Rhinolophus ferrumequinum: one gene and its partner. The protein of the gene in region 2 purifies or fractionates together with the protein of the main gene of each other region. This does not show direct contact. Links are inferred from orthologs where the notes say so. Each region holds a gene or a part of one and is shown on either strand. Other genes may lie near its edges. The genes, in order: KDM4B and FBXO22.

Evidence for each region.
Region 1: the proteins of FBXO22 (region 2) and KDM4B purify together in Homo sapiens (affinity purification with western blotting; 3 studies listed by BioGRID, with this or other methods). This does not show direct contact. The link is inferred for Rhinolophus ferrumequinum from reciprocal best matches to the Homo sapiens genes FBXO22 and KDM4B.

Annotation. Positions count from the first base shown.
Region 1 is NC_046301.1:58,880,158-58,896,731, forward strand, and holds the start of KDM4B (lysine-specific demethylase 4B), read right to left. Parts: upstream 8,957-16,574; coding exon 8,816-8,956; intron 3,234-8,815; coding exon 3,058-3,233; intron 1,965-3,057; coding exon 1,850-1,964; intron 1-1,849. UniProt on the Homo sapiens protein: Histone demethylase that specifically demethylates 'Lys-9' of histone H3, thereby playing a role in histone code. Does not demethylate histone H3 'Lys-4', H3 'Lys-27', H3 'Lys-36' nor H4 'Lys-20'.
Region 2 is NC_046311.1:437,746-453,852, forward strand, and holds the start of FBXO22 (F-box only protein 22), read right to left. Parts: upstream 7,403-16,107; 5' UTR 7,321-7,402; coding exon 7,184-7,320; intron 6,914-7,183; coding exon 6,775-6,913; intron 2,191-6,774; coding exon 2,103-2,190; intron 1,332-2,102; coding exon 1,236-1,331; intron 1-1,235. Other genes in the region: UBE2Q2 (ubiquitin-conjugating enzyme E2 Q2), read right to left, coding at 10,638-10,669, 13,354-13,420. UniProt on the Homo sapiens protein: Substrate-recognition component of the SCF (SKP1-CUL1-F-box protein)-type E3 ubiquitin ligase complex that is implicated in the control of various cellular processes such as cell cycle control, transcriptional regulation, DNA damage repair, and apoptosis.

The DNA of each region.
Region 1 (16,574 bases), on a different chromosome or scaffold from region 2:
CAGGAGCCCAGAACGTGGGGTGGGAGCAGCAATCAGACCCCTCAGTATGAGGATGAAAAGCCCAAGGTGACCTTGAATAGAAGCTGCCCAAGGTCAGGGAACGTCAAAAGGTTTAGGGAACCTAAAGGTTTAGGGAACATGGTTTCCCTAAAGCCCTGTCTGAGTCAACTCACTGTCCAGCCCAACCGTCCACAGGTGGAGGACCCGGGTCTAGTCTAAGCCAGGCGATAACTCTGTGACCAGGGCAAGTCGAGGCTCTGCTCGGGGCCTCAGTTTCCCTGACAATAAAAGGAGAATGTCGCATTAGGTCAGACACAGCAAATGCAGGGCACTGAAGCCCTGAATCCTTCCGGAACCCATGGCAGGCACCGCTCACTGAGCTCGGCGACAGCCCTGCTGAGCCAGCATGGCCGCCGTCCCTCGTGGGACCGTCACTACAACCGACTGCAGGCAGCACCCGAGAACAGCCCCAGAGATTCTCACGGCACGAGGCTCCAATTTTTGAATTTTCATTGAAAAACAATAATGCAGGGTCCTCAAGAGAATAAGAAGATAAGCCACAGACTAGGAGAAAATATTTGCTAACGACACAGCAGATAAAGGACTGTTACCCAAAACATATAAAGAACTCTTCAGACTCAACAATAAAACCAATAACCCACTTAAAAAATGGGGCAAAGACCTGCACAGACACCTCACCAAGGCAGATACACTAATGGCAAGTAAGCACATGAAAACGTGCTCCACGTCATACGTCGTCAGGGAGATGCGTATCCAAACCACAATGAGGTACCGCTTCACACCTATCAGAACAGCCCAAACCCAGAATTCTGACACCACTAAATGCTGGTGAGGATGTGGAGACACAGGAACTGTCACCCACTGTTGCTGGGAATGCAAAATGGCGCGGCCACTCTGGACGAATTGAAGTGTCAGTCAGTGCTTCATGTGGGGACCCATGCAGTTGTCCCGTTTTTCTGACGCCTTTTGGGAAACACGGGCTCTTCTCTGGGCATCCAGGAGGGTCCCCACCCTGCCTTCCCAGGAGGGGGGCGCTATTCTCATCCACTCCAGCCTCACCCAAGACCAGGACTCAGGTGGGGCCCACCGGCTGCTCTCACAGGGAGCACAGGCTGAGTGGACAGACAAGTGTGTCCCAGCAAGAGATGCCCTTCAGAGTGACGAGTTGGGGTGGCAGGCACAGATGGGGACACAAGGGGCCACCCGGGGAAGTGGAGAGAGCTGGATTTTAGCCCAGGGTACCCTGTACAGCACATCCCCAGAAGAGAGCTAGGCTCAGTAACTCTGAAATTCATCCCAGGAGATCCATCCAGGGCTATTTGAGGTCCCGTAAATATTAATAAACTGTCCCCTAACAAACATGGGTCCCACTCAAACCTCCCTCTGCTTCACACCAGCATGTCCCGGGCCCGTGTCACCACCACCAGCATCTGGTCCACACCCTCGGACAGGCCAAGGCCAGGCCAGGGCCCTCCATTGCCCAGGTGTCCTCAGGCCCCCGGACCAGCACAGGGTCTAGACGTGGGTGAACCCAGTGCCAGCCTGGCCAGCTGAGAACTTGAGGCTCCAGGTTTCTGAGGGTGGCAGATCAGGGCCAGCAGGGCTCCACCACTCAGGAGGAAAGATTTTGTAAGTCAGGTCCCTTTTTCACTCATTCTAAGACTTGCACATAGTTATAACTGGAGCCCGAACAGAAAGCCCAGCTAAGCTTCTGTGTCATTTCAATTTCCGTTTTCAAGACACAGTCCCATTCACACTCCTTCCTCTGCCATTTACCAGGAAGCTGAGTCCCTGTTTTCCCCAGAACTTGTTGGCCCTGTGTACTCACGTCATCGTACAAGGAGCCGCTGATGTCAGCCCCGTAGATGGGAGAAACGAAGGTGAGGTTCTTCCAGTACTTGCGTTCCAGGTCGTCGAAGTCCTGGTGTCGCGGAGTGCAGTACCTGTGAGAAAACAGCACACAGGAAGTGGGCCTTGGGGTCAGAGCCTGTGCCTGATGCTCCCAGCTCAGCCAGGCCGCAGGCGCCTGCTGGATACGCCAAGGGAGGGGCTCTGCTCAGACCAGCCGCTGTCCCACTGCAGGGCGCAGCCCCCAAGAACACGGACATGGTCCAAATGCTGCTGAGAGCATTTCTTCCAGGGGGTGAGTGTGTACTGGACGGGCGGGCAGCCCTGCCTGGAACGATGCCCACTCATGCCATCTCCTCAGTTCGCTGGGTCCGGGGCACCCAAGTCACAACGCACAGCAGGGGTAGCTGGAGCAGGTGGAGAGGTGTGAGCTCTGACGGTTCTCTGCATCCCACCGCTCGGCAAACACCAGAGCACTGATGACAGGCCAGGCACTGCCCTGGGCACTGGGGATAGCACGAGAATGGGCACACAACGCCCTGCCCACATAGGACACATGTTTGAGAGCACATGGACTGCCGGGAATGCACAAACGACTTCAGAGAGGGCAGAAGGCCGGGAATAACTAAGAACAGGGAGGAGAGAACAGTGGTATGTGCCCATGACTGCACCGTGTGTACACGAGCGCCTGTGAATGCACCTCGAGTGCACCTGTGAGCACATGGGCGTGTGCACGAGTGTGCCCGTGTGTGAGCCGTGTTGAACCAGGAAGAGGCATGTGGGGAGATGTACCAAAGAGCCCCTCTGTTTGGAGGCACCATTGGAACTGAGACATCATGGGAGGGTGTGGGGGACACAGCGAGCCCCCAGGGGCAGCCCTCAGCTACCCTTGAGGGTAGCGAGATATGGACAGCGTGGCCCTGGGCTGGGTGAGGGTCTGGATTTTGCCCTCTTTGAACTGGGGGACTCTGAGCACGAAGGGGCCAAGACCCACCCAGTGAACCCAGAACAAGCCATGTGCACTTTGTTGGGGGCTGCATGGTACCCACCATCTCTGCACCCCAGGGCCCCTGGTGGCCTGGACTTCACAGATGGGGCCACCGAGGGTCCCACTTCAGGGGTGCTGAGGACTTCAAGGTGTGGCTCCACCCTAGGTGGTTTTGGGGGGCCCGCCCTACACCCACATACTTCTCGCTGTTGGCCAGGCGGCGGTACTCCCCGACCGTCATGGCCTTCTTCTGGATGTTGTACTGCGTGAACAGGCCCGACTGGCCTGTCACCACCTGCTGGATGGGCGCGGGGATCACCACGTCGTCGATGTCGTCGTACGTCTGCCGTGGCTTCCACTCCTTCGGAGGAATGATCTGCGCGGCGAGAGGAGAGTCAGTGATGCCTCCAGAAAGGTCTGGCGAGCAGGCAGACATGCTCCCCCTCTGGAGACCAGTGCCACTCCCTGGGGAGCACACCGGGCTTGCCCCACAGGGGCACCAGGAACCACCTGTACCTTTAGAAAACCCCCAGCAGATCTGGTGCCAGCAACATGGGCACCACCTGCCAGGGCAGAGCTGTGGCCGCCTCCCATGCTGCATTTACAATTCTTTTAAAACCAAACGTGCTCGCTTTGTCACCAGAGCACGGGGCCACCGCGCCCTCTAGCTTTGAAAATGAGCACTGCAGGCCCAACACTCTAGGAACCCACTTCACGGACACATCCAGGGTGATCATCACAGCTCTCCTGCTGGGGAGACATGGAAGGCTTTACATTTGGATGGCAGAGGGCAGGTCATACGTAGCGGTAAGAGATAAGGAAAGTGGGGCAAGGTAACCAGTTGTAAGGACTAGGAATATAAATTAAGAAGGGCTGAGTGCGATGCCTGGGCAGGAGCAGAGGGGAAGTGACGACTCCGAGTGGAGGAGCCTGAGGTCACCTCTGAGACAAGGACAGCAATTTCACTGCAGCAGATCCAGCAGGCAGCCCCCAGGACTGGACCCTCCCAAGAGGTGACAGCTCTCCTGCCCCTCCCCTCCCTTCCCTGCCCTTCTTCTCCACAAGGGGACACTAAGGGCCAACAGGAATGGCTTGGTGTTAGGGGCAGAGGGTCTGGGCACAACCTGAGCGGCCACTGTGCTGGGCTTGCGTGGACTCAGGAACCCAGTCCCAGCCCGTCCCTGTCCCACGGGGCTGGGCCGCAGTCCTCTTGGGCACTGGGCCCACTTCTGCGCAGGCCTCCGGGGCCGACTGGGGCCAATCTCTCCCAGTCCTGGGGGAGAGAGCGCGAGCCTCAAGTCTCCTTCCAGGACGCTTTACAGGCCACCCAACAGCTTTAGGGAAAGGAACTAACCCGACCTGTTTTCAGAGCATCAGCCATGAACTCTGGGAAGGCCGAACCCTCACTCTGCTTGGGGCCAATGAGGGAAGAACACCGCGCTGATGCCCAAGTTTGCCGACAGCTTCCAGAAGGGCTGAAATCCATTTACCATCCCCAAGGATTCCATTAGGGCGTCTATCTCATCGGTGGAAGAAAATGTTTTGCTTGGCAACAAAAACACTTCTCCAGTTGCCTGTTAACAACAGACAGGTGTTGCCTACCTTGTCAGCACACAGCCGTATATTTACAAAATACAAATAAATAACAAGAGCAGTAAGAGGAAGTCAGTGGGTCTCACCCAGGGTGATCCTGCCCCCACAGGAGACACGAGGCAATATCTGGGGACATCTGTGGTTGTCACGACTGGGAGTGCTCCTGGCATCGAGTGGGTGGGGAGGCTGCTCAACCCCTCACAGTACCCAGGATGGCCCCCCCCAGAGAGTGACCTTGCTTGGATGTTACCACTGCCAAGGCTGGGACCATAAATTGGAGTCACATTGGGACAAGCCACCTCCTAGAGGACACGACTGTTCAGTGGAGGCTCGTTCTGGGGACATCGCTCCCCTGTGTCAGCTGCGGCCACGATGCAATAGGTGTCTGGGGTGCCTGTGTCTGATACAAGGCCACGTGACAACAGGGTGCTGAGGTCAGATTTCAAGAGAGAAATCTGAAGAGTCGAGTGATAAACTAAAACATTCAAGGCTAGAAATGGAAAAAACAAAACTGAAAGGGGCTGTGCCTCCAGGACCCAAGATGTTCTTTCGTGTTGAAGCTGCTTTTTAATTACGTGTGCAATGCCCACTCTTTACAGAAAACCTGACTTTGTTCCTGAAGGAAAGGGCCGTCACCCTGAATGGGCTCCAGACCCAGCCAGCGGGGTTCACCAAGGGGAACCCACTTCAGTTCTGTTAGAGGAAGTCCATCCTTAATCCCAGTCCGGGTCAAATGAACAAAACGTGTCACTCCCAAATCACATGCCCCTCCAATGAGAGCCTGAGGTTACTTTGTTGATTTATGCTGTCTCTAACACACTGCTGTGTGAATACATCTGACAACCAGGGAGGGACCGTCACGATACCTGGTCTGCACGTGTGAACCACACTTTCCTGGACACATGCTACTCAGGTTCTGAAACGTTTCATGAAAGAAGGGCTACTTCCAGCTGGTCTGGAACCCAAAGCTTCTGGAAAAATCCCTTAGCCACATATTGTAGCCTACCACCCTCACAGCTCTGGGAAATCAGATCTGAATGGAGGCTGTCCACACAAAGGACATCTGAAGGTCATCACTTAAGACCTTGGAGCACACTGACTGTCTCCACTTGGTGCCTCAAGGGCCCTGTACAGCCTGCGACTGACCCCTGCTCAAAGCTGGAACGCAAGTTCAGCCAAGGTCAAAAGGAACAGAAAGGCCACATACCCCAGGTGAATAAGGAGACACCAGGCAGGTGGTCTGGGTGTGAGTCATGTGGCAAAGCCAGGGAGTCTGGGCAGCTGGGGCAGAAGGTGTGGGGGACCCTGCAAGAGGGCAGGAGTGAGGGGCAAGCTTTTGGCCCCCCAAACTGCCTGCTTCCAAAGCCCTTTTGCAGGGGGCAGGTCTGGCAGCTGAGAGCAGGCTGCAGGACTGTCCTCAGGGATGCACTCAAGCACCAAAGCACCCTGACCCCTCCCACAGGACCCCACACTGCCCCATCACCCCACACCCCACTCCATGCCCCTCCCTGGCTCCTCATGCCCCAGCGCTTCCCAAGCAGCATGAGCAGGTTCCCAGCCCTGGTCTGCAGGGGGCCGGGACCCACTGGGCACAGCCCCCAGAGCATGCACAGAGCAGCCAAGGATGACGACGGGCCGCCTGATGGCTCCAGAGTGGGCACACCCAGAGCTGCTTCCAGCGGCAGCCCTGGCTCCGCCTGTGCACGCTGAGCACACATCCCTCCCAGCTCCACCGGGCCCCGCAGCTTTTCAGAGGGGACCAAAGACAGCGTTTATGAAAGAGGAAGCTCCTACCACGGCACATGCACACACACACACGCGCGCGCACACACACACGCACACACATGCACACACACACACACAGAGAAGGGTAGTCAAGGCTGAGGAGGCCAGGGTCAGGGACACACCTGTGTATGCAAAGCTGGCTCAGGCCAGCAGGACACCGTGTCCTTTCTCCAAAAGAGACTGGCAGGCCTAAGGGCCAAGTGCCCCTGTGTAAAAGACGTGGGAGGTGCCCAGGGCCACAGCACCTGCTTCCCTGGGCCATCTGTCCCCACAGAGTGGCAGGGAGGCCACTGAGGGACCAGAGGCACCACATACGGTCCTTGAGAGATGGGAGAAGGGGAGTGTGTGCCCGTGTGTGTCGGCGTGACGCTAACCACCAGGATCTGTCAGCAACCGCACTGTGCCCCCGCCCCTCAAGCACACAGTACCCCGTGCCCCCCCCCAGCGGGTTTCAGAAAGAATCTGCGCATCCAAAGGCCACTATCAGTCAGAATGAAAGCAGCAAATAAACCACCACTTAAAAGAGAAAAGGAACAAGTTTTGCCTTTATGCAAAACTAAAGGCAGAGGGAAAATCTGCCCTGAAAATATTTGCCTCACAAAAAAAACGGCTGCCTCCAGTCCAAACGTTTCCCCTCGATCCAGATAAATTAGCAAAAAATTAGTCCACCTGAATTAAAAACCTAAAACAGGGACATCAGGGTTCAGAGAAGAACTGTCGAGACAGCGAAGGAAACGAAGAAGGAAGAGGGAGAGTGAAAGTAAAGGCACGGATCACACAGACAAGGGGGTGATAGAAATGGCGAGGTTGAAAGGACGGCAGAGAAGCGATGGGGTGGAATTTAAAGGTGCTTGCGACAAAATAGCCCGAGATATTCATTTACTACAAGTTTCCGGCATAGAGGATGACATGAATCCAAAAGCTGATGGGCCGGCTGAGTCCCGGGTAAAGTGGAACTAGGTCAATGACAGGAGACAAAGCGGGAGAAAGCATGCCCCACTCCCACGGGCACCAGGATTCTGAGGATCGCAGAATCTCCCTACCACTGCTGACCTGCAGTGGACGCAGAGATAGGGAAGGGTCACCTGACAATGACACCAGCCAATCAACGGGTCAGCGGAGCAGAAAAGCCTCAGATGCTTCCGAACCTGCTAGAACCCCAGGCGCAGGGTTTCCAGAGCCCTTCTCATATGAGATGACAAACCAGCCAAGGGAGACACGGGCAGTGAGCACTAAAGCTATTTAAGGGGAGAACTGAAGCTAAAACGACAGTGGTGGCCATGGTTCCCAAACTAGATAAAAATGTTCTGCTTTGTCTATATTATCATGTGTACAGCGAACAAAAATCAAGAGGAAAAGGGGAGGAAAAACGATGCCGCCAGCATACTGCTTTCCTTATCTCCCAAGGCTGAGACTGAAGGCAAGAATGTAACGGGGACAGGAACTGATACTAGCAACAAAACCAACCCAAAACGGGCGGGGTGGGGGGTGGGGGGTGGAGGGGCCGGGCAGCAAGCTGCAGCCCACGGCTTAAATCCCACCCGCCGCCTGACTCTGTACAGCCTTCAAGCTAAGGTTGGTTTGTTTTGTTTTCATTTTTAATGGCTGAGGAAAAATTTTCAGAGTATTTTGGGACAAGTGAAAGTTCTGTGAAATGCACGTTTCAGGGCCCATAAATAAAGTTTTATTGGCGCACAGCTGCATCCGTTGGTTTAAGGGTCTAAGGCGGCAGAGCTAAGCGCTGGTGACACAGAATGTCCAGCCGGCAAAGCTGAAAATAGTATCTGGCTCTTTGTACAAAAGATTTCGCAACCTCCAGATTTAAAGGATAGACAACTAGGAATCTCAGATTAGTGACAGTCATTAGGAAGCAACTAGAAGAGCCCCAAACAAACAGATTACAAATCTTCCCAATTTTGGGGCGAGTAATGCCACACACACAGGTTCACGTGAACATGAAGAATCACAGCCATTTACATTAAAAAGCAACCCGGCGAGCTTGTGTGTTTGTCTGCACGCACACATCCACATGTATGTACACGTATGTGCGTGACACACCAAGGAAGGAGACAGAAGATGATGGCATCCGTGTTGCTTCTGGGGACAGGAGCTGGGAGACAGGGATGGAGGGAGCGGAGGAGACTCACTTGTCACTCTCGCCCAGTCACACTGTTTGGACTTGCCTCCCACATGCGTTACTGTCTCAAACAAATATCGATTTCACTGGGAATATAAATGCAAAAACTAAGCCCTTCCCGGCATCAAATGCCCCAGAAGCCTCCCCAGACTCTCGACCCCTTTCTCCCCCAGGCGGGGTGAGACTTGGCACCGTGAGGTCCTGGGTGGCCACTGCCCACTGCGCGTGTCCTAGCACAGCTGTGTTCCCGCCCCAGCTTGCCAGCTCCCACGGGGACAAGGGCCGTGCGAGTCACTGGTGAATTCCAGTGCCCAGGACAGCACCTGGCACAGGGAAAGAACCGTGTCCTGTCTACAGACACACGAGGGCGGAGGCGCTGCGTGAGCACTTAACGGTCACGGACACGCCCAGACACGCTGCGCGGGGCCCAGCACGTCACCCACCTTGGCCAGGCCTGCCCGGTGGGCTCCCTGGGACTCGATGTAGGCCACGTATTTGTTGAAATCCTTAAACTCTTCCATGGTTGGGCGAAATGTCATGATTTTACAACTTGGGTTCTGGGCCCCGTGATCCTCAGACCCCATGGCTGCAGCTGAGACGTCGCCACACCTGCAAGGGAACACAAAGAGCATGAGCACGGTGCCCTTCTCCCTCAGAACGTGCTGAAATACCCCCAGCTCCCGGGAGCCACGCGCTGCGGAGAAGGAACTGGGAGCCGACTTCCTCACTCTGCTCTGGCACAAAAGACCAAAATGGCTTCAACTAATTAAAACCAGAGGTGTCCTAGTTCTAAAAGCCAGCGCGATCCTGGAGGCCAGAGCACTGATTTTAAAGTCGGGGCCTCAGAAATAAAAGCTTTTCTTATCGGGGACTCAAACCAATGCGTGTCCTTCAGAGCTGGACGTCCGTCCGGCCAGACAGCAGCGCATGGCGAGTTATAGGTGAGTGAGATTGTGTGTCAGTCTGTCATCTTTCAAGATTTGAACCTGCGAGCAGGGGACCCTGACTCTGGGCAGTGCCCACTCTAAGCAGCACATGGGTCGCTCCAGGATTGGCCTGGCTACTGTCAGCAAACCCAGGCCCAATGAGGGCGGGAGCCTGGAACCTGGCCAGAACGGCTCCTCTCCTTCAATCAGAGATGCTCCAAGGCGTCCTGGTTACAACCACGCCTGGATATCTCAGCACAGAAGGGGGGAGTAGGGCTGGGTCTGTACATCCCAAAAATTCACTGCTGGCACCCGAAGAGGATTCTTGGGAAGGAGGCTGTAGGTTGAAGAGACCCCCCTCCTGTCCCCAGAGTTAAGGGGACCCAGTGGGGGTCAGTGGCCCAGCCCAAGCAGGAAGAGGCTTGGTGACGGTCTCTGGGAAGGGTCCCCCAAACCCAGACTTCCTCCAGGATTTAGAAAAGGTCAGAACCCGAGTGCACACAGACCCGAGAGCTTGGAAGACAATGTAACCAAGTCCACCTCCTCGCACCCCAAAGTCAGCTAGGGAATGAGGAAGCTCGGAAGCTCACTGGCCCCAGAAGGGGGGGGGGGGGTCCATTCACCAACATGCAGCCACTGGCTCCCAAAAGGCAGGCCCTGCGGCGGGCACTAGAGGGCAGCATGAGCCCAAGAATCGCGGCTGAGATGGTCACCTCTGTGGGAAGGATCTAGAGGCCCCAGGCCCGCAGGCATCCTGGCCCATGCCTGGGGCATAGGGGGCTGGGGTAGGGGGACAGCAGCTAAAGTCCCCCCCACCCCGCCACAAAGGGTCACACTCACAGCTGGAGGGCCACAGAGGATCCTGACACACACACAGGCCACTGCTACACCCAGGCTGGGACCTACCAGGACCCTCTTCCCTGTATCCACAGGGAGTCTTGAGGCTTCTCAAGGGGCAACTACAAAGCTGAGGTGCACATGGCAGGCCACCAGTGCCTGTGACACTGTGGGCCGGCTCACAGGGATCCACCAAGAAAACACGGTTTGTAAGAAAAGGGGTTGTCACAGCCCCTCGGGAGCAGCAGGCACCACAGGGCCCGAGCCTCGGCAGCCTCCTGGAGGCTGCCCCCGTTGGAGCCCTGAGCCACCCTTAGCACGGACCACCACACCGTCCTAGCCATAGCCTGGGACCTGGATCCACACCTGGGACCTCTCCCCTCTTCCCAGCCCACCTTGCGCTCTCCCTCCTGCCCAGACACAGCCATGCGGGGCTCCCAGCTCCACTGCACAGGGGCTGACACGACAGTGTGTCCGTCTGTCTTAAGGGGACAGACCCTGACGCCTGTACGACTGTGAATATCGGTGTGGACATGAGCTGGCTAATGGCGTGGAGGGGACCGCAGGAGGGCAGGCAGAGGAGGGAGTGGCTCCCTGGCCGGGACATCAGAGGAGACACAAGCGTGAACAGGTAAGAGCGCTCCTCGTGCTCCCAGCACCCTAGCCCCCCACTCCTGCCTATGCCCACCTCGTCACCCCCCAAGATTTTCCCCACCTACTGGGGATGCTCAGGGTCTCTGCCGCCCACGCATACCACACAGACCATCACACCTGTCCTCTGAGGCCAGCTGCCTGAACATGACTGCCCCAGGCTCAGCCCCTGGTCCCAAGCCTTGGCGGCCAGGCACAAATCCACAGACAGGTTCCTCAGTCTGTCACGACCCACACCCGGATCCAGCAGCGGTGGACACACAAGCACTGCACAGGCCCCCAGCCCTGTTCTGTGCATTTCACGTTAGCAATTCATCCACTCCACACAGTAAGTCCATTTGTCATTGTTCACGGAGGAGGATACGAGGCCCCACAGGGGAAGTCACATACCCAGGCCACACGGCAGGTACGTGGCAGGGCCAGATGACCAGCCAGGCTCTGCCGAGACAGCCTGAGTCTCCCACGGCTCGCGCACCCTCTCCCACCCTGCTGAGTGACAGGTGCCAGGACCCATCCACACCCAACAGCTCTCAGGTGTGACTCGGCCCTGGCCAGCTGGCGGCCGCTCCTCCCAGGCTGGCTCACGAGGGGCCTACAGGGCAGGGGGCCACGGCGTCTCACAGAGGCTGCCTCCCCTCAGTCCATGCAAACACCCAGCTCCGCCGGTGGGAGGCGATGGGGTACGCCCATCTCTTCTTCCCTGAGACCAGCCTGTCCCAGGCAGAGCTGGGGCAGCCGGGGGGCCTGCCCACACGAGCTCTTTCATGTGTCAAAAATCACGACACAGAGACGAGTTTTCCATCTAGGAGGTGGGGAAAGTAGATGGTGAGACAGCAGGTAGAGCATTCTGCATATGCATGCTGGCAACGAAAGCCAAACTCCAACCTGTCATCTACTGTCCGCTCCATGGTGGGTCGTGTACGCTTTTCTTTCTCTCTCTTATTCGTGCCTTTTGAAATGAAGCCTTGCAGTAGGTAAATAGAAGGAAGAAAATTAAACTGGTTTATAATCCCAACACTCCATAACCCCTGACACATTTCTGAAGGAGGGCAAATAAAAATCACACATATACATATTTAAGAAATAAAAAAGGAATCTGACTGAACGCCAGCCCTGGGCCAAACTTCTGGTTTACTGGACACATGGGGGGAGGGACAGGACCGAGTGAGAGCCCCCGATAAGGGAACTCACAGAACAGTCCAGAAAGAACGACGTGTTCTTTACAAAACAGTACCATGCTGAAAAAGTGGGGCTCTAACAACTCAATAATACAGAGACAGCCCAGTTAAAAAGTGAGAAAAGGACCTGAATAGACATTTCTCCAAAGGGACTACGAGGTCTGGCAATTAAGTTTGCGAACTCATCCTAGAAAAAGTGCTACATGCCTCACTGCTGAATATCACTACGGTCACCTTCGAAGGACTTCCCTTGGGAAGCTATGCACCGACGCCAGCACCTACTCCACCCTTCAAAGCAATTTTGGAACTCTTTTTCTGGAATGGCCATCAGAACTGTAGTCATATTACCCTTGATGTCCTGAATGTCATCCAACTGTCTTCCTTTCAATATTTCCTTTATCTTCAGGTAAAGAAAGAAGTCACTGGGGGCCAAATAGTAGGGAGGGTGTTCCAATACAGTTATTTGTTTACTGGCTAAAAGCTCCCTCACAGACATTGCTGTGTGAGCTGGTGCCTTGTCGTGATGCAAGAGCCATGAATTACTGGAGAAAAATTCAGGTCGTTTTCATCTAATTTTTTCACGCAGCCTTTTCAGCACTTCCAAATAGTGAACTTGGTTAACTGTTTGTCCAGTTGGTACAAATTCATAGAGAATAATCCCTCTGATATCAAAAAAGGTTAGCAACATTGTTCTGACTCTTGATTTGGACTGAACGAAACTTTTTGGTCGTGGAGAATTGGCTGACTTCCATTGTGTACTTTGACGCTTTGTTTCGCGGTTGTATTGGTACACCCGTGTTTCGTCACCAGTGATAACATGGCCCAAAAGGTCTTGGCAAACTTCGACTCTGCTTTTGTTCACCGTTCAGCTCCTTCAGGACCATTTTTGCACACACCTTTCTCATGCCAAGATTTTCAGTTAAGATTTTTCAAATTGTTTCTCTATCGATGTTTACTTGGTCTGCTATGCTTCTCACAGTCAGCCGACGATTGTGACGCACAATTCAACAAATTTTTGCAATGTTTTTGTCAGTTCTGCTTGTTACTGGCCACCCTGACCTCTCTTCATCAGTGACACGTTCTCTCCCCTCAGAAAAACGTTTAATCCATTTGTGCACTGCCGTTTTCTTCATGGCCTTATCCCCATAAACTTGGACTAACATGTCCCTGATTTCACTTCCACTCTTGCCAAGTTAACAAGATATTTAATGTTTGTTCGTTGCTCTAATTCATCTAATTCAAGCTCAGACATTCTCGCGATGGCACACAAAAACAATAATGAGCACCACTCAGCAAGACGCCGCCACACGTCCACACGAACACAGCTGTGACACACTGATACACCAAGGTTATGAAACCTGACAGAGATGTTTGTACAGTGTTGCCAATGTGAGCGCAAGGTGGCAAGTTCGCGAACTTAATTGTCTGACCTTGTACACAAAAGGTCAATAAGCCCGTGAAAAGGGGTTACAGTGAGCCAGCAAGGAAATGCAAATCAAAACCACAGTGAGAGACCACGCACCACCCCACACCCCTGGCTAGAATAAGACAGACAGACAATACCAAGTGTTGCCGAGGAGGTGGAGAAATCGGAGCCCTGAGACTCTGCAGGTGGGGACGTAAGACGGTGCAGCGGTTACGGAAACCGTTTGGCAGTTTGGACGAGACTATGATCGGCAGAATAATGCCTCCCCCACACCCCCCACCAAGATGTCCATGGCCCAATCCTAGGATTGGGGCTATGCTCCCTTCCATGGCAAAAGGGACTTTGCAAATGGGATGAAGTCAAGGAGCTCATCATGAGGATGACCCTGGATTACCTGGGCGCCCAATGTCGTGATAGGGTCCTTATGACGGGAGGCAAGAGGGTCAGAGTCAGAAAAGGAGACGAGACAACAGAGTGGCAGAGGCAGCAGCTGGAGTGGTTTGCGGAAAAAGCCCTAAGCCAAGGAAAGCAGGCAGCCCCTTGGAGCTGGAAAATATCAAGGAGATCGAGTCTCCCTAACGTCCCCAGAAGGAGTGGCCCTCTCAACACCTTGACCTTAGCCCGAAACACTCACTCCAGACTTCTGACCCCCAGAACTGTCCGAGAATAAATGTGGGTCGTTTGAAGTCACCACGTTGATGGTCACGCTACAGCAGCCAAGAGACGCGATTAAGGGAGAATATTTCTAAAAAGCAGTTTGGGGTTTTTGATTCACATGAAAAGGCCACATATTAGTCGACACCTGGCCCTAATTAGTCATGAAGCCTTCGTCCGAGGGCAACCCTGAACATGAGCCAGCCGTTCTCAGGCCACCGGGGCAGCCACCTTGGGACGGCACGGAACACATGGGGCTGTGTGTTCTCTACCCCATCACGCTTGCCCTGTGTGCGGGAGCCGGGAGGTGACTCGCTGGTTCCCTCTCTTCTTACCAATGACCACCTTGGGCCACCATCAGAGGCTACCTACCACTTTAACCCCTGTCCTCTGTTCCTGGTTTATTAGAAAAGTACAGGAGAAGGTAAACAGCCTGGAGTTTAAACCCAGAAGTAGCTGGGCAATGGAATGCTCTTAAATGCATTTTAAAAAAATCTTCTATTTTTTAAAACACCCCCCACCCCACGCCCAGCTGTGACTAGTAACCATCTCCTGCAGGCCACGGGCTGGGGTGACTACGGCCCTCAGGGAGCCCAGCAGTGGCATCCTGCCTGATCCATAGGTCCCAGACTGGGCAGCCTGTCCTGGGCGACACAGGGCTTCTAGAAGTGAGGGGCAGGCGTTCAAATGCTGACGGGTGAGCGTGCAAACGTGGAGTATGTGGGATAGAGAAGACACATCCAGAAAAGTCACCCCCAGAGGGCTCCAGGCTCCTCTGTCTAAGGGTGAGCAGACCCTGGACACCCCAGGAACTCAGAACCAAATGGGGCCGCCTTCTCCCCACAGCGTGCAGGACTGACAGCTGCCCTGGCAAGAAGCTGCGTCCTTCCGTGCCTTGGTCTTACACTTACTTGGAAGTTCCTGGTATGTCCTGGATGGCTGAGGCTGTGATGACAGATGCTCCAATAAGTGACTCAGGTTTCTGTCAGGTTCTGGCAACGGTGATGGTTCCTAAATTGCACAAGCAAAAGCATGATTAACTAAATGGATCACATGCTTAAATCTCAATTCCACATTATACTCCTACATACAGCAGCACGTAGCCCAGGGACACTTGCCTTTATTCAAACACTTCCAAATCCTTGCCACTTCATGGGACACAAAAATCCATAACTAGAAGCACTTTCCCCATTCAGTCTTCCAAGCACTGCCCGTTTTAAGCACAGCTCCGAAAAATCAGTCCCTGAGGAAGCGAGAGCTCCGCGAACAAACTGAACCAAAGAAGCGTCTGGAAACCTTAAGGTCCAGGTAAATTCTGTGAGGTTTACAAGTTCTGCCTCCTGTGAACCCCACAGCTGGGGAGTGTGCCCCCTGAAAAAGGAAAGTTGCATGGACAATGAATGCCACACAGTGACTTCTGCACCCCAAAAAGGCAGAGGGCACAAGGAGAGCCGGCAGGGGCTGTGCAGACCCCGCGAGGGCAGGGTCCCAACCGCGGATTTACAGCTGGGCAGGGACACTCCAGAACTTGCTCAATGGATGCAGGACAACACCTGCGTGTGGCCCCAGGACCTCTGACAATCGAGGCTATAGCCACCCTGACTCACCAGCTCTCCCGCCCACATCTCCCCACAGCTCCTGTGACACGTGAACCCCGATGGCACAGGGTCTACCAGGTGCTCCCTGCTTTTGGGCCTTTGCTTGTGTTGTCCGTGATCTGAGAGTCCCCAGTGGGCCCGATGCCCTGGGCAGGGCAGCTCACCCCTCAGGCCCCAGCTTTGCTGAACTCAATCCCACACATCTTCTCTAATTCACCAAGTTTTAAATAGAACAGATTTCATAAACACCCTCACAACGGGCAATGTACATGACATTTTTAATCTTATTTTAATCTGGTTTTTAAAAGTACCAGGCATGACCCATTAAATTGATTTCGCTGTCTTTGAACAGGTCACAACCCCCGGGTGAAAGGCCACACCAAGCTGTGGAATTCGTGACCTCAGGTTGCACGCAGCTTCCCCGGGACTCCAGACTCGGGGACCATTGCGGGCTCTTCCCAGGCCTCCTCGGCCTCTCCCACCTGCGCGGCTGAAGGCTGCCCTGCCCCACAGCCCTGCCAGCACCTGACATCAGCCTGAGCTCAAGTCGGAGGATCTGATTACGGCGTGGCTGGCAGAAGAGTGGCCGCCCAGGGTGACCGTGTCCGAACCCCAGCACCTGTGGCTACGCTCACTTCTAGGGCAAAAGGGACTTTGCAGATGGGATTAAGTGAAGGATTTTGAGATGGGAAGATTATCCTGGATTAGCAGGTGGGCTCTGTCATCACAAGGGTCCTTATAAGGGGGAGGTGGGAGGGTCAGAGTCGGAGGCGACGTGATGACAGAAGCAGAGGTCAGAATGAAGTGCTGTGAAGATGGAGGAAGGGGCCAAAAGGCAAGGACGCAGGATGCTCTAGAAGCTGGAAATGACAGACAATGGCCTCTGCCCGGGAGCCTCCAGAAGGAACCAGCCCTGATCTTAGCCTCCACGA
Region 2 (16,107 bases):
TGTTTTTGGCACCCTCTGTACAAGGCAAGCACCAAAGGAAGGCTTCAGGGAGACTTCCCGCACAGTGGGGCCCCGAAGCCAGGAATGTCACCCAGGTCACCCTCTCCTGCCCCTGCTCAAATTTTAAAAGGAGAAACTTGGTCATGCCTTGAGGAAGCCACGGTGGGTACAGTGGGGAGGGGTGAGAAAATATTACGAGGAAGGAAAGCTATGATTCCCCAGAAACATTTGTTAGGAAGTACGTAGCAATAGTAGAAATGAGATCACTCATTTAAGGGAAAATTCAGAGGTTAAACAGAAAGCCTGGTCACTGCTCTCACTGTTTTAAGCCCACAAAATGGAAGCAGGTCAGGAGCTGCCGCGGGAGGGGACAGTCCCACAAACACACATTTACGTTTGCTCATGTGAAATACCCAGTCTCCTCTACTTCACTGTACAAGACTCTTAACACCTGATCAAAAGTGCCACCTGAGTGTTAAGAATGTCAGTCATGGAGGAGCACTGCAAACAGTCACCTACTGCATCTGCTCTGAGGGCTGCCATGTGTGACCTTGTCACAGCCCTCCCAGGAAGGCACTGCCACCCCACCCCACATCATAGGTGAGGCTGAAGCCCCGTGACACGAGGCGACTGGCACAGCCATGCAGGTACTTAGTGGTACAGCTGGATTCCAAGCCAAGTGTCTGAACCACCGCACCGTGACACCTCAATACAGCGTCCGTCCCCCACTAGCTATAGAAAAGAAATAAATAAGGAAAACCAGCAAAAGTTCAAGGCAGCAAACGTGGGAAGGGCCCTGCTTATTGTCAGCCCTGAACAGTGGGAGCCAAGCAGAGAAAAGTTTCCTAGCAGGGCTGCCCCCAGCTCCCAACCACAGCCCTTCACCCCGACCCCCAGACACAATGCTGGCTGAGGGATGAAGGGAGAACACTCACTAGTGCTGATCTGGAGAGAGGCAGAGCACGCTCTCTGTCCTCTTACGAACGGCTCCTGGGAAGCTTGGCAGTACCTTATGCAGAAAGCTTATGCAGACAGCCCTGAGACGGGAATATCAGCCACACACAATAATCCAAGCCACAGTAGTGGAAGTCAAATCTAATACCACGCTTAGCATGACCGACCTCACTGCACTGTGGCCAGGAATATAAATGTGCGTTCAAGCTACAAGTAATTCACCATAACAGGATCCCACAGTGATGCTGGCAGGAAGTCACCAAGTTGGCATTTCCTCTCACCTACGATCCCTGGGGTCACGACTCCCAGGACTTGGCACCGTTTCGGGAATAGCTTCTCGAGGGCAAAGGCTGTCTCCATGGTCGTCCTCTTCCTTGCTATAATAACAGAGTAACAGAAGAATTAAATGTCATCTGCTGAAGGTCAAATCTGATGGTGTGGATGAGAAAAGGCAAATACGGAATCAAGCTTAAGTCATTTTACACCAGAATGCTTCATAAGGAAGTCTAAGAACTTGGATGAGAACAAATGCGTTCCCGTTCTGCGCCCGTTTTCATTTAAATTCTAAATCAGACCTTTAGTGTCACCATTCTGCCTTTCCGTTTTGTTCACAGTCAGCTTTTGCTCCAATGTCATCACACAGTGGTAGCAGCTAAATTTTAGACTTGCTCTTGTAACCTTCAGTTCAGCTGACCATAAAGCACATGACTCTGCATAAACAGTCACTGGATTCAAAGACGACAACGGCAATCCGTTGTCTGCGTCTGGGTCTCAGCGTGGCCACTGGGGACCCCACGGCTGCTGCTTCCCTCAGCAAGCTGAGAACGCACAATAGCTATACATGACTTTGGTAAATGGGTCGCCATCATCCAACACAGTAAAAGGCTAGAACAGCCAAAGATACACATCCTGTTTTAGTAATCAAAAGAAGTGCCTGGAAGATTCAAGTATTTCAAAATGAGAAGAATACATTTCTAAAGAATTTGTTTCACTTGCACTTCCAGATTCAAAGACCATCCAGTCATGCGTTCCAAAGGGGTGGGCCGAGGCTTTGGAAAGTCAGTCTCAGGACTAGGACACACTTAACTCCAAACAGAAGGTACACAAGTAAACAAAAAAAAACCCAAACGTTTTCTTTCGCTATTCACCTCTCTTGTGGCCACGACACTCTTCCAGGCTCATGAAAGTTTCCGAATCAGCCATGTAAAGAACTGTCTGTGGTAAGATGTGCACATTCTGCAAAGAAGAAATCCATCTGAATTAGATCGCAGGATCCATGATTGCTTTCGTGGCCCCTGCACGTTTCACCCTGGCCCAACCTGCTGTCGCCCTCCCTCCTTCCGGCCAGTGCCTGAGCTAAGCCCATTCACTTCTCATTCATTCTTCACTCGGGCTCTTCCATTTTCAGGTCTTTCACTTGCTGAATATCTTTTGTTTCTTCAAGTGAAACTCATTCCAGCCTCACTCAATAAGTTCATTTTCATAATAATTTAAGGTCTTAAACAAAAACATGAATACCAGCAAAAATCACAACTTTATTTGACCAGGCAGGTAACAGAAAGAGCCCAGCACCAGAGGGGAGGCAGACAGACTGCACACTCATTTCACTGCCTAGCAAATGAAACATTCCAGGCCTTTGTTCCCACCTACCAGCTAGATTCCTAGAGGGATCTTCTGCTTACTATTCCCCGGACACATACCCTTATTCATATATTCTCCTGCAGCTCTCGTCCTTTCTTCTTGATTTAAGAATGTTTTTCCCAAGAGGCAGCGGAAGTGCCACCTCCGCTACACAACTTTTTCCTCAGCTCCCTCAGCGCCTTGGATCTCATATGCAACAGCCTTATATTTCAGTCATCTCCACTTATGAGCTGCGCTTATTCAGAATCAGGTTTTCCATTAAACTTGACATTACAGACAGGTGACAAAGTGGCTGAATTAAATGAGAAGGGTGAATGTGTTTTTCCTTCTAAGATGGTTATTCTCAAAGATGTTTACTATTAGAAGGGGATGAAGCAGTTAGCATATAGCAAAGACTCAATGTCGATTAAATGGGGAAAAAACACTGATCCACTGTAATTTGGGGGAACATTAAGATGTTTCAGACGAGATTCCATATAGACAAACTCATAAAAGAGACTGAGACAAAATGATGACCCAGCGGTAGCCTAAGGGCTGGATAAGACCTAAGGGTACAGTTTCCTTGGTCCATAAGGCATTTTCAAAGAACGTCATTTTGTTGCCAACATTTAAAAATCCATAAGTTACGTAAAATGTGGATTTGCAGATTCATCTGAAAAACTAGATGTGCTGGCAACACTTAGACTGCATTCCCCTTGAGCAGGGCTAACCGGCAAGCGCTGTGGACTGCCATAGCCCGCCCACTGCCTGCGGTGTTACACTGAGCCACCTGAGCTACCTGCCCCACTCTGCAGCCACCTGAGTTCATGACGCCCAGTGTAATAGTGGGTAAGGAGAGACAATTTAAAAGATTCAGGTGTTAGTGCTGACTCTGCCATAAACCAGCAGAATAACCCTTCAAAGTGCTTCGGCCTTAGGTTTCCTCGTCTTAAACACTGGAAGTCTAGGCCTCAGGTTTTCTGATTCTCTTTCCTGGTACCCATTAAAAAGCAATTGCTGAAATTTCCTTCCTCGTTCTCACTACAAGCACTGAAAATGAAAATCCTCATCATGAAATGTTCTCAAAGCACAATGTAAGACAACTAGAACCTAGTTCCAGTATTCAGAGAAGTTCCAAATGGCAAGATGTATTATAACGTTTTGAGTGAACTTTAAAATATTTTTAATACAGTTATATCAACTTTCTTTATGGCTATATGTCCAAAGATAATTTGGCAAACACAAAGAAAACAGCATGTATGATTTGGACAAGGTTTCCATGTTTCCGTCTCACCACACTAGAATTTACCACAATGTATAAACTCCTTTAAGGGTATTCCTATATTAATTTTAATAATGATGTTAGTAATAGAGAATAATAATTTCAATGAATGAAAACACTGTATTCCCAGTACTGTAGAGAATGTGTTAGATACATTGGGTTTCCATGATCTAATCCTTACAACAACTCTATAAGGGTATAAAGGGAGTTATTACTTTCTGAAGCTCAGAGAGGTTAGGTACCTTTCTCAAAGCCGCACAACTGGGTTCATGTGGTTCATGTGCCAAAGCTGGGTTCATGACTAAATCTGCCTAGCTATTACAAGATATAAGCCCTTAAAGCTATATAAAAATAATACTTGCTGTGGTAAAAATTTGAAGGAAAAAAATTAAAAACATTTTTAAAAAAATTCTACTCCCAAAACAAACTTTTGGTAACATTTTGGCTTTTTTGTTTTCTATTTTTCCTTTTTTGTTTTTAATAATTCAGATGATTAAACAAATAATTTCATAATCTACTTTTTTCACTTATAACATCAACATTTTCTCATCATAATGTGCCTTGCAGTTTATCATTTAATAACTTCATTTATTAGATACACATGAGGTTGTTTTCAGCTTCCCTTATTATAAATGATGCTCCAAGGAACATCTTTAAGGAAAAGTCTTTGCTTGCATTCTGAATTTTTCCATATGACAAACTTCTGGAAACAGATTTGGCAGGACTTGGGCCAAAGTGCCAAGAAGAAAGTTTTCTGCAAGTCTGTCTTTGGACACTGGCCACTTTGGATCTAAGTCTCAGAGCCCAAACAGAGTAAGAAAATCTACACAAGGAAGGGGGAAACAGAAGATTGGTTACTTATAGAATATTCATCTTATACCAAATACATTAAGAATGATGAAAGCCAGGTTTCTCATTGTCCAAAAGGGCAAGACAAATATGAGCTGAGAGAAAACCGGAGAGAATCCTGTGTAGGATTAGAATTGTATGTACCTGTGTGAACCCATGAATTCCCATATATATGTATATATACACACCTGTGTGTATATATGTATATGTGCATGTATGTATATGTATGTGTATACATGTATGCATGTGTATGCATATTGTGTATGTATGCATATGTGTATGTGTATTGTGTGTGTGCGTGTGTGTATGTATATATGTGTGTATATGTATATATAGAGGGTGCCAAAAAAAATGTAGACACATTTTAGGAAAGGAAAAAACTATTAAAATTACGCTGATGGTAACCACTTTGAGTACTTCTTGCAGAAGTCAAACGTGACTTGCATTCAGCTTTTGTTATCGGTATATATTATTACAATTTTAATAGTTTTTCCTTTCTTAAAATGTGTATACATTTTTTTGGCACCCTCTGCATATACACGTATGCACAGCTATAAATGTGTCTACATATAGAGATAGATGGACACACACACATGCTTGCGTATATTACATATATACACAAGTGGCTCTGCCCACCGACTGGCCTTGGAGACACAAACTGATCAATAGCAACGACTTGTCCAGATCTTGGCCTCCAAATATTATCCTCCATGAAAGGAACCAGGGCTCCTTGGAGTAAGGACTAGTTCCAGGACTGAGGCACGCAAACCACAAGATGAGCTTAGAATATCTTGTGTCATGGAAGTGCTCAAAGACAACGGAGTCTTTGAACACTCCGTTCAAAAGACACTGAAAACCAGCTGAAGGGGCTCCTGCTAGCTAACTTGGGGACAATTTGGGGACTCAAATAAATACTGATAATAACATGATATTCCATTGGCTAAAACAAGAGACTAAAAGTCTATGTAAATAAATAAACGAATGAATTGAAACAGGATATTTACATAGTTCCAAAGTATCTCCCCACCAAATACTTAGGACAGTGAGTGAAAGAGTAATTTTACAGTAGCAACATCTGGCTGACACTACCTTAATCAAATAATCAAAGATAATATCACCAGTGATGGGACAAACGGAAATCATATGACATCTCATAGGAAGCAATGTGAAGAGCATAGCTTCGCTTGGGATATTCCTGCCAAAGACACATAATCCAAATTTAAGAAACATCAGATGTTCTACAAAGTAATTGGCATGTAGAAACAAGACCAATAAAAGCAACATAAAATTCGAAGCCAATCCTGCTTTGAAAGACAAAAGTACCCGGGGACAACTGGTAAAATGTGAATGGAATCTGAGGATTAGATGGCAGAAACGTATCAATGATGATTTCCTGACTTTGATGGTTGTACTGTGGTTCTGCAATGTTCTTGTTTGTACGTAATGCATACGAAAGGACACAGGAGTGACAGAGCATCAGGCTAGCAGGGTACTCTCAAATGGCTCCCCCTTCCCACTACCAAGTGAGATGCCACAACCTCACCATCAGCTGTGCTCAACAGGTGGCCTCCTGTGACTACACAGTTCAAGTATTTACCTGCCCAGGTATTGCTCGTCTTTTGAAATTGGGGCCCAGTGGTACAACACAAGAGTACAGAATCTGGGGTTGAAATATTTGGGTTTATACCCAGTGTATATTCTTGGCTTATCTATGCAACACTAAGACCGAAAGACCCAGCTGCCTTCCCTCCAACAATACTTGATTGGCAATACTTGCTTTAAGGGAAACAGGTGAAGGGCGGAGTCTGCATAGCATTATCATAATAGTGAAAATCTGGATACATAAAGTGCCGAACATTTGAAGAACGGTCAAATAAAACAATCGCACATCCTTACAATATACACTCATAAAACCTGACATTTACAAAATCTTTAATGTCACGAGAAACATTTGTCTAAATTATAAAAAAATAAACCCATGTGCAAAATTGGGATTAGAAAAAGATTTAGCTCTCAAAGACTGACCCACCAACCCCAAAGGCCTGTGCACCGCACCGCTTCCCACTTGCCTCAAGCTCCTGGGCTGCCACTCGGACCAAGCAGTGCTCCTGCAGGTGGCCGGCGTCCGCCGAGCCCGCCGAGATCCAGGCCACCCTCCGCTGGGCCCGCAGCACTCTGCGCACGCTCTCCCGCCACAGGCGGCTCACGCTGGGGGCGCGACCACAAAGGGCTGTTAAGCGAGCGTCTGTCCCTCTCCCGGCTCAGACCCCCCCCCACCCCACACACCTTGCGGGATCAAATTCCGGGACCTGGAGCCGCATCCTCTGGGAAGAGCCCCGGGCGCACACACCACGGCGGGGTACCTGCAGACCGGGACGTACCCGCCGGGCAGGCGCAAGCCCCGGGTCCCGCCGGCTCCGCCCGCCCGCCCGCCCGTTGGCCCACCAGGCAGCCACCGCCCCCGCCTGCTCTCCTCACCCGGCCACTCGCAGCAGCGCCTTGGCGGGCAGGAAGGAGAGTACACGCTCCACCACCTCCGCCAGGTTACTCAGCACGAAGGCGCTCCGGGGGTCTGCGGAGGAGCCGCGGTCGCCGCCGCCGCCCGCCAGCTCCATTCCTCCCCGCGGGCCCCCGCAGCAGAACCGCGGCTCACAGGGGTTAGAAGTGCCCGAGCGCCCGACCGGCGCGCATTGCGCAGGCGCGCGCGCCACTTCCGGCACCAGGCTTCCGGCGCAGATCCTCCCGGACGCAGCCCTCCCGGAAGCTTGTCGGCCCCCCGCAGTGACAGCGGAGCCGCCTCCTCGGGTCTTGCTCCGCCCCGGCGGCGCCGCCTGCTGTAAGTCACGAGTTCCTGAAGGCAGGACTAGGGGACAGTTTTTAGTCGTCAGTCCCAACGCCTGTTAATATGAGCCCAGTTAAAAAACGACCTAAGATGTGGAAATCGGCGCTCCTCGCCGCCGCGCTCACGTCCGACTGTGACCTCCTGTCCCCGCGTTTGGGCACCTGCTGAATGAGATCCGGGCGGCCCAGCAGGCTGACTGTTAACGCTCCCTGACTCCCACGCAAGCTCGGGCTGACAACCGTGCGTGGAAGGGAGGTCAGCAGAGCACACACGGCCGTAACCCAACCTCCGTTCCTCCTGCTGCTTCCTCGCTAACGGAGCCCTGACTTGATGATGTCTGACATTATAGCCTCAAGACTCCACACTGACAACCCCAGAGAGCTTGTGTCCGTGGGTTACGTCTCTTAATATTTACCATATTAAAATTTTAAACATTTTAATATTACTTAAAGCATTGTTAATTGGCCCACAGCAAATTCCAAAAATGTATTTAGTTTACTTAAATAAACAAGGTGAGGCAATACGTATTTCACCCAGAGTGAGTGGCCCGGCTCTTTGTGTATTTTACTGCATATGGCCCTTGGTAAAAAACGTTGAGAAAAGTTTGGACACCCCTGAAAGTAATAAATCCATTACACATTACCAAAATAACGTTTTTCTGGAGGAAAAAACTAACCCTCTCTCTCCCAACAGTGAATAGTGATGTCTTTACATTTTGCTAACCTCTAATTTCTGGCTTAATGGAGGCAGCAGGATCGGCTTCTGAATTCAGTCTGCTGCAATAGCACGTCATGTAGCTCCTGGAAAACACGACTGTACACTTGAGAATGAGAATGAACATTGCAAATAATGTTTTAGCATTAGGAAAATACTTTCGACCTTAAAAACCTCCTAATAGGGTGTCAGGGGTCTCCAGGGTTCCCCAAATTATATGTTGAGAACCACTGGTCCAAACTAATGATGGTTTCATTCTTTTCACTAGCCATTAATTTAGGGGTAGACACAGGCCCCAGTTCTAGCCAAGGAAAAGTGAGGGGAGTGTGCAGGGGGTGGGGTGGGGGCTTCTGAAGATTTCCTCACAGAAGGAGACACTAGAAGACAGGCCCATTATCTACCTCTGGACGGAGAAACATGACTGCAGGTCCAGACATAACATTTAATCCAAAGATGAAATCAACACAGAAAAATCTCCGAGAAGCAGGGCAGAGCCCAGATGCTCTGTGCCTAGAGTATTCCTTCCTACCTCCAGACTTCTTGAAGGTGGGATAACCTGACGACGGTGTGTTAGGAGGAGGCTATGGGCACACAAAGAGGGAGCAGATTATTCTAACTGGGGACCTTGGGACAGCTATGAAGAATTTATATTAAAGAATGAGTGTAGGGGAGGGAAAAAGTTGAGGAAAACCTGAGTATGCCACACCTGTACACACCATTCTTGGGGTCTCTAGCTTTCCCTTGTTAAACCAGTCTCCCTCTCTGCCTCACCCCATCGCACCATATACAATCCTATTCCAGAAATTCAATAGAACCTACAGACACCTGGAGCAAAGAGTATTTCTTATGAGGGAAAATGACAGTTAATTTTTAAATGATTCTTTATTCATAAACTTGATGCAAGTTTACAAAATTTACTGTACATTGCCAAATAAATCTGCAATGAAAAATAAAATCCAAAAAACAAAGCATGCCAAATGTCACTCTGCTAGCCATCAGGATATTAAAGAATTCAATAATGGATTCAAGATTTAGCCTTAGGTCTAAGGAACTGTAATGCTTTAAAGAATTCTGCCTTGTCACTTGTTATCTGAGCAGCTGGCAATCAGAACTATATAGAGATGTGAACAAGAAAAGGCCAGAAAATCTTTTTCTACTGTCCTCTTAACCACACAATGCAGAAGTGCAGAGCCTCTCCCATGTGGTTTACAAAGTTAAAATTGGAATCTTCAAGCAAATGCATAAGAAACACTTTTGAATTTTGTAACTAGTTTGTGCAGAAAAATGTGCTTCTGGATTTCATTTTAAAAGTGCTTAACAACTAGAAGTTACTTTTAAATCAAACATGGGTATATAAAAAATCTATTACCAATCAAACAGGACTCATTCAGGTAAGGCAATAAAATGGAGACTACACTGATCTGAGTCAGGTTTTATAAAAGAGTTAACGTGTATAGAGTTCCCATTAGTCTTTCAGTAAAAGCCATTATTGTGACTATAACAAACATTTTAAAAGTCTCCCCAATTAGGGATCTTTTTATACTTAACTGTGCAGCTTTTGCTCAAGGAGTCTGTCTTTGTGCCAGTCACTTTGTAAGTTTATTAGGTATAGATAATTGCAACATCCCGTTAATAAAATGGAAATGACTTAGTCTCTTCTTCAAAAGAAACACTGAACTGGTAAGCAGCAGATTCAGCCAAGCACGATTGATGCCCCAGTGGAGTCACTACTCACAAGCCTTTCCTGCTTGCTCGGCCCAGCCTTGCTTCACTTTGCCTAAAAAGCACAACACAACTCAAATAAGAGCACGTCTTCGGGGAACAGCTCACATCTTCACATGGCGTGAAAAAGTTTAACAATTTATTGAGTAGGTGTCCTGTCAGTATTTTGGCAATATCATAAAATGGTTTCAACCTGAAAAAGCTACCGCGATTCAGAAGACCTTACATTTTCTAAACCAATATTAAACATCGATTAAACTTTTATTGGCTCTAAAATGAACAATATACTGTGAGTTCTCGTAACGCACAAGCTCAGAATGGGAAAGTTATCCTCAAGTCGCACCTTTGGTCACCTGATGCTGACCTGCCTGCCTAACAGATTTCAAGAAAAAGAGATGATAAGGAGTGGCCAGTATGTATATTTATCAGGAAAAATACAGTAAAGGCCCCACTGCTCAGTCCAGGATATCTAAAAAGAGCAAAATGAAAAGGCTATAACTTATACAGGATGTCAGTTGACAGATTATCCACTAAAATATCTATTAGCTAACGTCTTCGGTACTGCTGTTACAGGGGCACTCAAAGCTTGTGTCTGCATGTTGGAAAGATTTTCTTTAAAGCAACATTGGTCCAAGCATATGACAGTCAACACATTTAGCCATCTTCCTTTGGAGGGGTGTACCAGCCTGAAACAGAATGGAAAAAAAAAACACGTTAAAATACTTTTTTTTGTTTTAGTATTAACTTTTTAAATTTTGTATTTTTCAATTACAGTTGACATTCGATATTATATTAGTTTGAGATGTACAACGCAGTGATTAGACATTTACATAACTCACACAGTGATCCCATGATAGGTCTAGTACCCACCTGGCAGCACACATAGTTACTACAATATTATTGACCATATTCCCTATGCAGTACTCTACATCCCCACGACTACTTCATAACTACCAATTTGTACTTCTTAACCCCTTCACCGTTTTCACCCAGACCCCGCAAAATACTTTAATTCTTAAACCAACTAGGAGAAATGGCATTTCATTAAGTTAGCTACTTTCTCTACTCATAATGCTTAAACCTAGTATAAAAATTAAGCTCACACCTGGGTTGGTCACAAAGCATTTTGATGTGTTCACAGTAGATGCTCCTCGGCTTATGATGGGGTCACGTGCCCCATCACACTGCCGCAGCCCACACTTGGGCCCAGTCCCCTAATGCAGGAGCACACTGCCCTGTGCCGTTGTTGACCCTCACGATCACAGCCTGCTGGGAGGAGCAGCGCTGCCACCGCCCAGCACCACCAGAGTACCACACCGCATATGGCTTGCCCAGGAAGATTGAAATTCAAATTCCACATAAGGTTTCTATGGCATGAGTATCGCTTCTGCACCATCGTAAGGTTGGAAAATCCTAAGTGAAACCACCCGAAGTTGGGACTGACTGTGCAAAGTTATTTTCTATGAATAAATTGTCCTTGAGTTGTCAACATAAGATCTCCATGTTAATGGCATGTCTAGCTAATGTGATAGTACAGAACACTAGATTATAAGCTAGGTTTTAGATTCCATTTGGATTCTGTATTTAAAAGTAAACCTCCCAGGAAATAACTCTCCCCCAAACAAAGTCGTAGAACTTGGCTTGTCATCACTGCAGTGATGTCACTGTACCGGTGAGGAGGCCAGCTCAGCAGGTGATGCCTGAGACCAGATAGAGAATCCATGACGTGACTCAAACCTAGCACTCGAAGCTTGCACACACCCACTTTCTCAAATACAATACTTCCCATAAACATTTCTGAATGCTGACTACAATGTCTGTTTCAAAAAATAAATAAGAAATAAGAAAAAATACGATTGCTTCCAGATTCTACAAAAAACTAAGCTCTAAGCAAATGAGATTAAGTTGTCTGGTATGACATTGCCATGGGAACAGTGTGACTATCCCATAGTTTGTGGGGCAGCCACATGGTTCTGAAGTACACAGGCAGTTCCGGGTCTACTCAGTTAGGGTGCTGGAGATGATGATTCCATGTTTCCCCGAAAATAAGACCCAGCTGGACCATCAGCTCTAATGTGTCTTTTGGAGCAAAAATTAGGTCTTACGAATTTTTGCTCCAAAAGATGCAGTAGAGCTGGTGGTCCAACTAGGTCTTATTTTTGGGGAAACAGGTTTAGAAAAACCCGGCCTTGTTCTTGTCTTACCATTTCCCTCTTCAGAAGCTCGAACACTGCTTGGAATACAGGCACACCTCATTTTATTGAGCTTGAGATGTTGTGTTTTTTACAAAGTGAAGGCAAGAACCTCACCAGCAAAAAAATTACGACTCAGTGTGTTGGGATACTCGCTTTATTGTGATGGTCTGGAACCAAACCTGGAATATCTCTGAGGTATGCCTGTGCTACTTCAGAAACAAGCAATCACTGAAGAAGTGACGTTTGTTTGGTCATTAAAATAAAAATGAGCACAAAACAGAAATCTTAAGTCACCACATTTCTAGCAAAGAACAGTTTACTATACGAGTAAATACTCCCCTAAAGAAAACGACTTTCTATTTCTATTATTTGCTCTGCACACCAACAGTCAATGTCGCTCCCACGTTACAGCTACAGCTGATATCTTACAGCAGCACTCAGTTACAAAGTGTGAACACACTACTCCTTTTTTCCTCACAAATTTGACAAGATAGATGTCAGGCCGTCGTATGACAGATGAGTAAACTGAGGCTGAGAGGTAATCACTTGCTCAGGGCCACAGAACTAGTGAGTGACACAAATGGCACTGAAAATAAGTCTTCTAATTCCAAGACTACTTGTTTTATTACCTCACTATTAGACACACTCAAAATGTGCATTGTGAATACAAGCAAAATTTAAGTAACGCCAATAAAGTTTGTGCAAGATGTGTTAAGATTTTTTAAAATTTGCAACTCAAATGAATACTCGTAAGTGGATACTGAAATTAGAACTTTTTTACCGGAGTAGATATATGTGTAAGATTGGAAAAACATTAAGTAGTCCGAAGAGGCTCAGAGACAGCTGGTTCTGGTCCTGATTGCATTTACTCTGTCGTAACAATAAGAGCTCCACTTGTAGAGTTGCCTTTAACTCAGTTCCTTTCCTGATACTATATATTTCAAGTGAATAAAGTGACCCATTCTTTAATGGAGTCAAGTCTGGATTCTGACTCAGTTACCGACACCATTTCGCATGAAGCACAGTGTGTGTAGCCTCAAGTTACATTTTTTCACTGTAGTAACTGTACTTTATAAGAAATTAAAGCAAAAACAAAAATAAAACAAGATAAATATCAACAGCACATTACGTCAAACTTCAAAAATAGCAATAAATACATATTGAATTAAACATACCATTTTTCTCGTGTATCTGTACAATGGAATTATAAGATTGTTGGGCTCTTGCTAGATTATATTGATTCTGAAAGAGAATTATACATTTTAAATCAAAACTCTAAGTAGATGAAAATCATGACAAGAAATTTATGGATGTGTCACCACTGTGCTTAAAAGAACACAGGAAACAATTATATTTCCATTTCAAAAAGAATTTTAACTGAATACCCTCATTTCTCAATTTCATTATTCTCTACCATTTTAGAAGGCTAACAAAACCAAAACTGTACTCCAGTAACAAGCTACAAGCCTCACGGTTCATTCTGATAGTCCTACCACTGGACAAATACCAGGGCTTACAGGACCGGTGTCCCTCCCACAGATGAATCCAGTTACAGGGGGCTCCTGGGACCCAAGTAGAACGCACTCTCTTCCTCTTAACTTGTGTCCAAAAGAACAAACTACAGAATATTACCGTCACAGAAGAAAATGTTAAGCTTTGAGGACTATACATGTAAATGACACTTTGAATTAAAAGTCTAAAGAATGCCCGTAAGTGGTCCCAAGCCATGACTAAAGGAGGCCTCTTTTGGTGACCTCTTTTAGAGCCTCTTTTAAGGAGCCCAGTTAGGATTTCTTTGGTCCCCTCCAGACAACTGACCTACATCCTAACTTCCAAAGAACATATCATAAGCATTCTTTATAGAGGCGTACACATATATTATGTCATAGAATGTTTTTCAATAAATTCACACAAGTATAAAAAATGTATAAACACATTCTAAGTGAAAACTCTTTCTTGCTTATCCTGTAACCATTTGGAGAGCAGGGAGAAAGAGGGAGGGAGGCAGTGGGGGAGGGTCAATTCCAAGCATTCTGAAATTTTCATATGACATTTTCTAAACCATGATTTAGAAGTGGTTTAATTTCCAGATCCATGTAGATTTTTATTCACCTTTTCATTGTCTTCTAACCTTAATTGCTTCATACTTACAATACATGATCTGTATGGTACCAATCATTTTTTAATATTCTTCCCTGCTGCATGGATTAATTTATGATGACATTTTTTTCCATTTTTACTTGGGAAGGATGGCAGTATCTAATTATTGGTCATTCAAATCTACGTATTTGACATGTCCGCTTAACTTACCACAACCAGGGCACATTAAAGTCTCCCGCTATAATAGTGAATTTGTCAGTGTCTACTTGTAGTTTAATCAGTTTTTAATCTGTATTTTCAGGCTACTTTAATAGCTACATAAAGTGAAAAATTATTATTCCCTCCTGGCTGAGACTTTTACCATTAAGTAGCACTGATGCTTTCTGTTTGAAAATCTGTTTTGTTTGACACAACAGCTACATCACATTTCCATTTGTTCTGACTGATTATCTGGACTTGCTTCTACCACCTTACATTCTGATTTCTATTTCTCTCACTTTCTATTGCCTCCTGAAATTTTACTATCTCCTGAAATTCCAACGAGACATATTTTAGACCTTGCTCTGATATCCACCACCTAACTTCTGTCATGTTGTCTGTCCTCATGTCTCTGAGTTGTTTCTTCTAATCAATTAATCCTCTCTTCTGATGTCTAATCCATCGAGTTACTCATTTCAACAATTATATTTTTCATTTCTGCAAATTCTCTGCCATTGTTTTTCAAATCTGTTTCATCATTCTTGATGGTCTTACTGTTTGCTCAATTTTATGATTCTTGTTTTTTCTATGTTAGATTCTAATATTCTGTTATTTAATATAACAATTCTAATATCAAGTATCTATTCTGCATCTGATAATGCCTGGCCCACCAGTCTTCGGGAGCACGTGTCTCACTTGGAGTTTCTGCCCACCCATGGGTGATGGGTTGCCTCTGTGCTTGTGACCTTTCACTCTAACTCCCTGTTGGCTTGCTCTTAACCTTTGGGAATCCTGCAGACTTAAATCAGAAATGCTTTCCTCTAAAGAGTACTGACATGTGGTTCTGACGAGAACTGTGGGCACAACTGACATGAGGCCACTTTAGCCCCATGACCCTGGAGAAGCTCAGATTTGGTTTCCCAGCCTCGCTCGTTTAGAGAGAAGACTGGACTGCTTAGTACAGATAGCGACTCCCCCGCTGCCTGAAGCAAAACAAAAGCCGGGTCTCTCATCTGCACGTGGTCACTGACTGAGGGAGTCTGTAGGTCAGTAGCTGGAGGCCTGTGGGCCGCAGGGAAGCCCAGTGCCTTTCCTGATAATAGAAATGGGTTAGGCACCTGCCCGAGGGCTTGTGTCCAGGACTTGACTATGTCACTCACCTACCGTTCGTTCCCTGCATACAGTGAAGGGAGGCTTCTCAGGGGCACTGCTTTGCCTGGCTGACCCTCCAATTCCTGCTAAAAGGCCTAACCGCAAACCTCCACTTTACATTCTCACGACTCCAGCCCAGAGTTAACGTCACAGGCTGTGTGCCATGTGAACTGAACAGAAAACCAGCCTGGTCAACACCCCCTGCCCGTGGCCTGCTCTGAGCTTCTGCCAGCTGAGCCTAGGGAACTAAAGGCTGAGACTGTGCAGGGACCCTGCCTGCACGGAGCCGCAGGGCTTGGCTCCAGCAATGGGACCCTCCCTCCAACTTGCACAGGTGCCGGCGGGCGACTTCTCCTGTTTTCCAGAATTACATACATTTCTATCATTTAGTAATATTTTCAGGCGACAAATATTCATTTTCAATCAATAGCTTATACTATCCTTTAAAATATTTTAAATATTTTTGCAGTAATACTTAC